2 linked regions of the Oryctolagus cuniculus genome follow. The protein of the gene in region 1 interacts with the protein of each later gene in a biochemical or structural test. Links are inferred from orthologs where the notes say so. Each region holds a gene or a part of one and is shown on either strand. Other genes may lie near its edges.

Region 1 (4,093 bases):
TAGGTAGGGTGGGTCGCCTCCTGAGGCACAGCCCCCCTCCCCCCCCCATCCCTCCCAGCCGGTGGCTGGGCGGTGGCTGGAGGGTCAGAGCCAGACCCTTGACTGCCGAGAATGAAAGGAAACAGCACCGGGGCTGGGCAGAATGTTCAAAGTTGCTCCTCTCGGGTGGGACTGGAGCCTCCCCTCTCCTTCCCCAACCCTGCAGCGCCACCCCACCCCCCACCCCGCCACTCCCTTTCGCCAACCTCACCCAGGGGCGAGGTTCGGGCAGCGAGGGAAGGGACGCGGGTGCTCGCGACCCCTCCCTCCAAGCTGCGCTCCCCTCCTGAGCCTGTCACCCTCGGGAGGTCGCCGCTTCCCCAGGGAGACGGGGTGCGCTGCGTACCCCCCAGAAGGGGTGCAGCCCTTTGGCCTCATTCCAGGAAGACAAGGGCTCAGCTGGGAGGTGATTAGGTAATTAGAAGATGCCCAATTTAAACTAATGACAGATTCTACAAAGAAACGCCAGTTGAACAATACTATGCCATTGATACCAAGTGAGCCAAGCCACCATTGTAGGTTCTACTTCCATTACCGAGTTCTCTGGTCGCTGGCCCCTTCCTTGACGCCCCGGGTCCAGTCCAGCCGTCAGAGCCTCCCCTGGACTGCTAGAGAAAGCGGGGCCCCTGGCGGCCTCGGGCTCCCACCGGCGTCCCACCGCCTGCACTGGGCGTTCGGTCCACGAATTACCCTTTGGAGCTGCTCCGCGCTGCCAGACGCTGGGGCAAGGAGCCGGCGGGGTCAGGGGCGTCGGGCAGCGAGCGAGGGCTGGTCCCACCACTTTCCCAAATGCATGACCTTGAACAAGCCCATGAACTTCACGCCTCCACATCCGCGTCTGTGAAATGGGACGGTGAACGCAGCCCGCCCAGGGCCGCCGTGCTTGGCAAACGTGCCGGATCCTCCTGGGGCTCGCGCGCGATGTTAACCCCGGGTGCCTCTTTTCCGGACCCCCCTGGGGCCTGTGGCCCGCTCTGTCGGTGGAAGGTTCCACATTAGGTCCCAGAGCGCGGGATTCGGGGGGTCTCCACCTCGCGCCCGGGTTGGGGGTGGCGGGTGTGCAAGCCGTGGGATGGACCCCAGTTCCTCCGCCTCCCCCGAGGCTGGAGCTGGGCGGGCCGGGCTGGTCCAGCCCCCGCGCCTCTTGCTTCGCGGGCCCCGCCCCCGGGCCCGCCCTCCTCTAACCCGCGCCCCCATTGGTGGCGTCCGGCGGCGCGGCCGCTGTTATTTTTCGAATATATAAGGAGGTGGAGGTGGCAGCTGCAGTCAGAGGCTTCCCGGACTGGTGCTTGAGTCCCGCGCCCCTCACCCCTCCCCACCCTCCCCGCATCCCTCTCCTCCCTCACTCCCAGTCCCACTGCTCTTCCTCCCTCCCTCCCTTCCCCCAACCCCGGGCCCGCTCCCGGCCCCAGGCCCTCCACCCGCCCCGCCGCGATGGAGGTGCCCCGGCCGGAGCCTGCACCATGCTCGGCCCTTAGTCCGGCCGGCGTGCGCGGTGGCGTCCAGCGTCCGGGCCACCTCCCGGGCCTCCGGCTGGGGTCTCATGATCTCCTGGGGTCTCCGGAGCGCACGGCCGCTTCCTCGCCGGTCACCACCCTCACACAGACCATGCATAATCTGGCGGGGCTCGGCAGGTAGGACGCCTCCCAGAGGCTGGGCGTGGGGTGAGAGACCAGGACGGGGTCCTTCGGCTCCAGAGGAACCGCGCGTGGGAGTTGAGCACTACAGGTGGGGTGGGGATGCGGCCGGGTCAGCGCAGAGGGAGTCCCTACCCCTGCTTCAGGGGCCCTGGGCAAGGGGCATCAGACCCTCCAGGTGACCCTTTGGTCTGCGCAAGCCTCCAGGGACCCTCCTTCCCCTCCCCCTCCCTTACTGTGACTCGGCCACGGTGCCCCCCCCCACCCCAATCTCTGTCCGCATCTCCTCCATTTTCCCCAGGCGGGGAGATATGAGCCGGGAGGGGGAAGTTGAGGGTGGCAGAGCAGTGGGGTTCTCACAGGCCCATGCCTCTGCTCCCTCCACCCTGCTTCTGCCCCCAGGGTTCAGGTCATTAATCCTAATCCTGTTCCCTAAGCAAGCCTCAGGGGCTGGGCTGACTTCCCCCAGCAGCCATAGAGACCCAGGTCTCTCTCTCCAAGGAGGCCCTGGGATGGGTAGGGGTCTGAGGAGCAGAGGGCTCCCAGGGCTGCTCTCTCGGCTGCCCCACTGACCGCCACGCCAGCCCCCAGCCTCTTTGCCCTCGCCCTGTGATCACTTGCCCTGCACCTGGGAGGGCCTCTCCTAAGCCTGCCATCCAAGAGAAGGCACTTGGTGGGCTAAGCCTCCTTGTCCTGAGGAGCAGGTGGGCCCTTCAGAGCTGGGTGACTGAGAACAGGGAGGGCCTGGAGGCCTGCATTTACCTCTCTCCTTTTCTGGTACCCCCTTCCCCTCCCAGTGAGACCCCAGAGGCTCAGGCCGGGAGCCTGCTCTTCCGAAGCCGGCTGGCGCGTCTGTCCCTGTCACGGCGGGCATCCGAGTCTTCCTTGTCATCTGATTCCTCTGAGTGTTCTGATGCAGGTGAGGCCCCACACGTGGTTGGGGAGGTCTGAGTTTGGGGGGCTGCCTGGGCTGCTGGATGCCCTGCAAGGTCAGATTAACATTCTTCCCACAACCTGGTGTGCCCGGGAGCCTCCCTGCTTGGCCTGCAAAACTGGGAGGAAGACACACCTCTGGCGGGACCCACCCACCCAGCCCGGGCTGGTGGCCGGGTGGGGCCCTCTGTGGGAGGGGAGATCTCACCTATCCGAAACCAGGCACCAGAGTCCTTAAACCACACATACAGCCCCACCTGGGAGCCGCGGGAGCCTGCGAGCTGATCTGTCTACAGCATTCTCTGAGTCTGTAACTTTAAGAAGCCGTGATCTCTTCTAAAACAAATTATTTTAAACCAGTTCATGAAAAAAATGCTTAGCAAGCACTGTGGTTTTAAAATGTATAGGACAGGAGTTCCCATAGTAACAGGGAGTGGAGCCCTGTGTTGTGTGGGGACAGCATGTCAGCTCATGGCTAGGTTCTTGTCTCATTTTTTAAAGTGTGTCCAGATGGAAAGCAGAAATAGGGCTTCCTCCCCTTCCTGGGACATGCTGGGGGGAAACAGGTAGGGAACGTCACCCCTTTCAAACCCAGGCCCTCTGTCCCCACAGGTCTCTGCATGGATTCGCCCAGCCCTGTGGACCCCCAGGTGGCAGAGCAGACGTGAGTAGATGCCGGGGACCCCTACACAAAGGAGTCGCCACCTGCCTTTGGGAATCCCCGTTCTAGCAAAAGCTCGCTGGAGAGCTCTGGGAGAGTGGAAGGAGTCCTCAGGCCCCACAAAGAGGGCTCGGTGACCTGCCTTGGCCTTGGGCTTCGGCTTCCTGTCTCAGAAGTGTCTGCTTTCAGAAAGCTGGCTGAAAGTGGACGGGGGCCAGGGGTGGTGGGGACAGTGGCCCCTGGGAGCAGTGGGTACTGGACCCCAGCTGGGCCTTGTCCTATGGGAACATAAGTCCAATGTGTGTCCTGTTATCCTTTGTTGCTTCTACACATTGTTTTAAACTAGGAAATAATCACAATTTAAAAATATGTTCCAACTAACTCAGTGCTTTAATTCACTCTGTGTCAAACACAATACAGTTGCTTGCAGACTGATTGGGCCTTAGGCCCATCAGCAACCTCTGGCTTCAGACACTTGACCCCTGGCCAAGCCCTGGACCAGGTCCTTTGTGAGAGAGAGGGAGTGGACAGAGCTGGTGGGCTCTGCTGTGGACAGATACCTCCCCGTCGTGGCGGGGGGGGGGGGGCAGGAGTAATGCCATCCGCAGCACAGCTGTTCCCATCCAGCTGTTAAGACCCAAACAGGTGGAGCAGCTGCCAGCCATTAGTAGGGACAGCTGAGCATCCCTCTCCTGGGCTGGAGGTCTCTGGCTGTGGGTTTAAGGCATCAGCGGCTATGACTGCTGTTCCTCCTGTTGCCTTTGATCAGACTGGGCTGGGCTGCAGAGTTTGTTCACAAACAGGAAATGGGGAGAGAATTGGG
Region 2 (4,800 bases), about 15 Mb from region 1:
GGCTCCAAAGTACAGACTTACAGTGTATTATAATTATTTCATCATTATTTTCATGATCTCTTAGAGTGACTAATTAGTAAATTAAGGTTTATCATAGGTATGTATGTATATATAGGAAAAAACTGAGTGTTATGTTTATATAGTTTAATTATGTCTGCAAAATCAGGCATTCACTGAAGGTCTTGGAACAGATTCTGCCATGAATAAGGGAAGTGCTACTATGTGACAAGTGTATTAGAGTCTCATTTATTATTCATGTAACCTTACGAGTCTTTTTTTTTTTTTTTTAAGATTTATTTATTTATTTGAAAGGCAGAGTTAGAGAGAGAGAGGTGTTCCAGAGCAGCTGGGACTTGAACCTGCACCCATATGGGATACTGGCACTATAGATGGTGGCTTTACCCGCTATGCCACAGCATCAGCCCCACCTTTTGAATTTAGATGAAAGTCTACCTATTTTTCTGATAAGGAAACCAAGGTTCACAGAGGTTTTGTTGGGGATATGTTGGTAGAGAGGTAGAGAGCTCCCATTTGCTGGTTCACTTACCAAAGGCCCTCAGTGGCTGGGGCTGGGCCAGGGTAGAAGCCAGGAACTAGGAACTCAATCCAGGTTTACCCACATGTGTAGCAGAAACCTGATTATTTGAGCTGTCATCACTGCCTCCCAGAGTCTGCATTAGAGGGAAGCAGAGTTAGGAGCCAGAGCTGAAAAATCAAACCCAGACGCTCTGATGGGAGACGTGAGCATTTTAACTGCTAGGCTAAACACCTGCCCCTCACAGAGGTTTTTACTTGCGCTCGGCTACTTAATTAGTAAGAGTTGAGAATTGAAGTTTGGGTCTGTTGGCTATAAAGCATAGGACCTTCTACCCAGGGCATGTTGTTGTCCATATTCTGTTTTATTAAATGTTAGTCTGGGGCCGGCACTGTCGCATAGTGGGTGAAGCCACCGCCTGCAGTGCCAGTGTCCCATAGGGACGCCCGTTCAAGTCCCAGCTCTCTACTTACCATCCATCTCCCTGCTGATGCACTGGGAAAGCAACCAAGGATGACCCATGTGCTTGGGCCCCTACCTCCCACATGGGAGACCCAGAGGAGGCTCCTGGCTTCAGCCTTCGCCATATTTGGGGAGTTAACCAGCAGAGGGAAGATCTCTCTGCTTTTCAAATAAATAAAGTAAATCTTTTTTAAAAAAAAAAAAGTTGTGTCTTGGTTTTTTAATTCCTTTGGTAGACCTTTCTATAATTGTCTTTGTGTCCTCCCACCCATTTAATATAGTACTTGGTTTGTAAGTAAATATTTGACAAATGTATAATTAAATGGTGGAGATAGTGACAACTTAAGTGATTGATCATTTGCTGTGACCTGCTTTGACAGATTCAGTGTCAACCTATGAAAGAACTCAGCTTTTAATATTTTTTCATCTTTCTTACAGCCACTGTATCGAACTCCCAGCAGGCTTACCAGGAAGCATTTGAAATAAGTAAGAAAGAAATGCAGCCCACACACCCAATTCGGCTTGGCCTGGCGCTCAACTTCTCCGTCTTTTACTACGAGATTCTAAACTCCCCTGAAAAGGCTTGCAGCCTGGCAAAAACGGTAAGACAGACCCGCTGTGGTTGCAGGTCCTGATAAACTTTGCTTTTGATGTCTTCTTTTTATTCCTGAACATACTCACTGTCTTGGACTTTTTAAAGGTTTTCTGGGAGTGAGATTATTTCTTTCATGAGACAAATATAGACCTTTTCCTTTTTAAATTGTTTTCCTCAATAACTCCTCCTGATTTTTGTTTTGTTTCACTTGTTTTTTGCATTTTGTTGGGAGAGGGAGTTGTAGAAAATTCCAGGTGAAGATAGTTTCTTGTTTCTCGTCACGTTTTGGCCTGGATTGCGTGTTGTCATCCTTGTATGGAGATGGGAGGCTGTGGCTGTGTAAGTGGAACAAGTCACACCACATGTGCTTCGTGTACTGAATTACCTCCTCTCTTCAGTCTTTTCTACATATTGTTGTTGTCTTTCAATATGCACACTATGAAATGAATTCTCAGAGTTGTATCCGTTAAATCAGATTTAGTGATAAAAGTTTCACTCGTCTTCCTTTAATCTTTGTATCCAGACCTTTTGAGTATTAGTTAAAGCAAGAATGAAAAAAAAAAGTACTAGAAATGTCTTTGGTAATTAAAGAATTGTGAATTTGCCTATAGTAAATGTGCTAGGGCTACTAGTAATACTGCTTACTTAGAGGGTACAACAGTTCTTACTGTGAATATTTGTCATTGTTCATTACTGCTTTGTAAATGTACGTTGTATGTTTGCTGAAGCAACCAGCAAACAAGGGAATAATAGCCCAGGTTGCCCTGAAGTTCTGTACAAGAAAAGAAATTATAGTCACTTAATAGTGCAAAAGAAATGGGTTAAACCAGCTCCAGAGAATTCTTGGATTCTTTACTAACAGCTCTTTGTTTTAGGCATTTGATGAAGCAATTGCTGAATTGGATACACTGAATGAAGAATCTTACAAAGACAGCACCCTGATCATGCAGTTGCTTAGAGACAATCTCACCGTGAGTGCTACTTCTGGAGGGCTTTCAGTCTGTTTCCTTTCCATCTACTTAATAATTCTCTGTTCTCCAAGATTCAAGAGGGATCTTATCTTGTTAAATGTAGTTAATTTTTTTTTTTTTTTTTTTTTTTTTTTTTGACAGGCAGAGTGGACAGTGAGAGAGAGAGACAAAGAGAAAGGTCTTCCTTTGCCGTTGGTTCACCCTCCAATGGCCGCCGCGGCCGGCGCACTGCAGCCGGCGCACCACGGCCGGCGCACCGCGCTGATCCGATGGCAGGAGCCAGGAGCCAGGTGCTTCTCCTGGTCTCCCATGGGGTGCAGGGCCCAAGCACTTGGGCCATCCTCCACTGCACTCCCTGGCCACAGCAGAGAGCTGGCCTGGAAGAGGGGCAACCGGGACAGAATCCGGCACCCCGACCGGGACTAGAACCCGGTGTGCCGGCACCGCTAGGCGGAGGATTAGCCTAGTGAGCCGCGGCGCCGGCCTGTAGTTAAATTTTTTTAAAGATTTATTTATTTGAAAGCTAAAGTTACAGAGAGGGAGAGGCAGACAGAGATCTTCCATCCGCTGGTTCACACCCAGATAGCTGCAGTGGCCAGGGCTGGGCCAGGCAGAAGCCAGGAGCTCGTCTGAGTCTCATGTGCAAGGACCCCAGCACTCGGGCCGTCTTCGGCTGCTTTCCCAGGCGCATGCTGGAACGGAGCTGGATCAGAATCGGAGCAGCCAGGAGTCTTTTAACAGGCGCCCATATAGGATGCTGGCATTGCAGTCGGTAGTGTAACTTGCTGAGCCACAGCGCCAGCCCCTACTTGAGTTTTGACCTTTGCAATCGTCACTGCAGTAATACAGGAAGAATTTTAAATAATTCCGTGAGATAAGATTACATTGACTGGGCCACCTCCCTGAGTAAGTGTTCATAGCCCTACTTTGATTATTGTGCTTTTTTTTTTTTTCTTGCAGCTGTGGACGTCGGAAAACCAGGGAGATGAAGGAGATGCTGGGGAGGGAGAGAACTAATGTCTGCCGTGCTTTGTGATCTGTTCGGTGTCACTCTGTGCCCTCCACATACATCCCTTTGTGCGATAAAAAGAATCGTACGTTGACTTTCAATTTTCACAGCCTCAGCCTAGCAAAAATGGTCTATGGGATAAACAGCTGGTATTTGTATCTAAATCTAGATTGGTCACATAAATGCCACGGCATTCTGAAGTTTTGATTTTGATTAACATTGACAGGATTACTGTGTGTTTAATTTTTAAAAACTGAACACTGTGATTATGGGGTTTTGTAATTTAGCAGAACTCTTACTGGTTAAAAAAAAAAGACCTGAATTATGTGTAACTTTTGGAAAGTTTAATCTGATATCAAAATAGTCACTGAAGTACAAATCCATTGTAAAGTTGTACAGAAAGTTATAGAAACTATATTGTGATGCTGGGACTTGGAGCGAGACACCACCATTTGGCGTTCAAATTCAGTGGTAATTCACAGTAATTCTGCCTGGTCAGGGTTTAAGGACACGTAACTGGTTTGGGCTCAAAAGTTCATGACCACAAATGTCTATGGTGTCATCCTCTGAGGAAACTCAAAACCTGAAATTAAAATTCTTTGAGGCAGATAACTGGGTTATGACACTGCACAAGGTCCAGTGCTCACACAGCGCTGACTGAACCCCATTTCCTTCAGCAATATGTTACCCACTTGCCACTTGAGAACGATGCAATCTGTTTTCCTTGTAACCACTTAGCTAAAGGAGAAAAAAAAAAAAAGCCGTGTGTCTTATGGATGGCCTTCCCGTGTCCTGGATAACACCTGTAGGAACGGCGTTCTGGAGAGACTGCCTTTCACTTGAAGAATACTCAGTCCTTGGGTTCTTCCTAGCTCGGGGCTTTTACATTTGGAAACCTAAACATTCTTCCCCCTGTCCTTCCCAACTGCTGACCATGGGTTTCTCTTCCCCCTTTAGTTTCTGTCCTCCTTCTTCCTTCTGTTCTTTCCTAGTTCTTTTTCTCTTGTTCACTTTGTCATACTAAATAGGCAGAGGGTGAGAGATGTTGGTGAGCACCTTGGTGAGCAGGCCTTGCTTCCGAGGGCTCCCGGCACCCTGGCTCTGTCTTCCTCCAGTTCCCAGCATGACCATTGTTCTCCAGTCACGTCAAGATGAGAATCCAAAGGAGTATTTTTAAATGTCCATGACTCCCCTGCATTGCAGCCAGCCCTGATAATGCTTGTTAGGA

Evidence for each region. The genes of interacting proteins can lie anywhere in the genome.
Region 2: the proteins of CDC25B (region 1) and YWHAB form a complex in vitro, tested with the Homo sapiens proteins (2 studies listed by BioGRID). The link is inferred for Oryctolagus cuniculus from reciprocal best matches to the Homo sapiens genes CDC25B and YWHAB.

The regions. Positions count from the first base shown.
Region 1 is NC_091442.1:29,126,786-29,130,878, forward strand, and holds the start of CDC25B (M-phase inducer phosphatase 2), read left to right. Parts: upstream 1-1,293; 5' UTR 1,294-1,473; coding exon 1,474-1,673; intron 1,674-2,473; coding exon 2,474-2,595; intron 2,596-3,221; coding exon 3,222-3,273; intron 3,274-4,093. UniProt on the Homo sapiens protein: Tyrosine protein phosphatase which functions as a dosage-dependent inducer of mitotic progression. Directly dephosphorylates CDK1 and stimulates its kinase activity.
Region 2 is NC_091442.1:14,249,469-14,254,268, reverse strand, and holds part of YWHAB (14-3-3 protein beta/alpha), read left to right. Parts: intron 1-1,435; coding exon 1,436-1,599; intron 1,600-2,467; coding exon 2,468-2,563; intron 2,564-3,523; coding exon 3,524-3,580; 3' UTR 3,581-4,800. UniProt on the Homo sapiens protein: Adapter protein implicated in the regulation of a large spectrum of both general and specialized signaling pathways. Binds to a large number of partners, usually by recognition of a phosphoserine or phosphothreonine motif.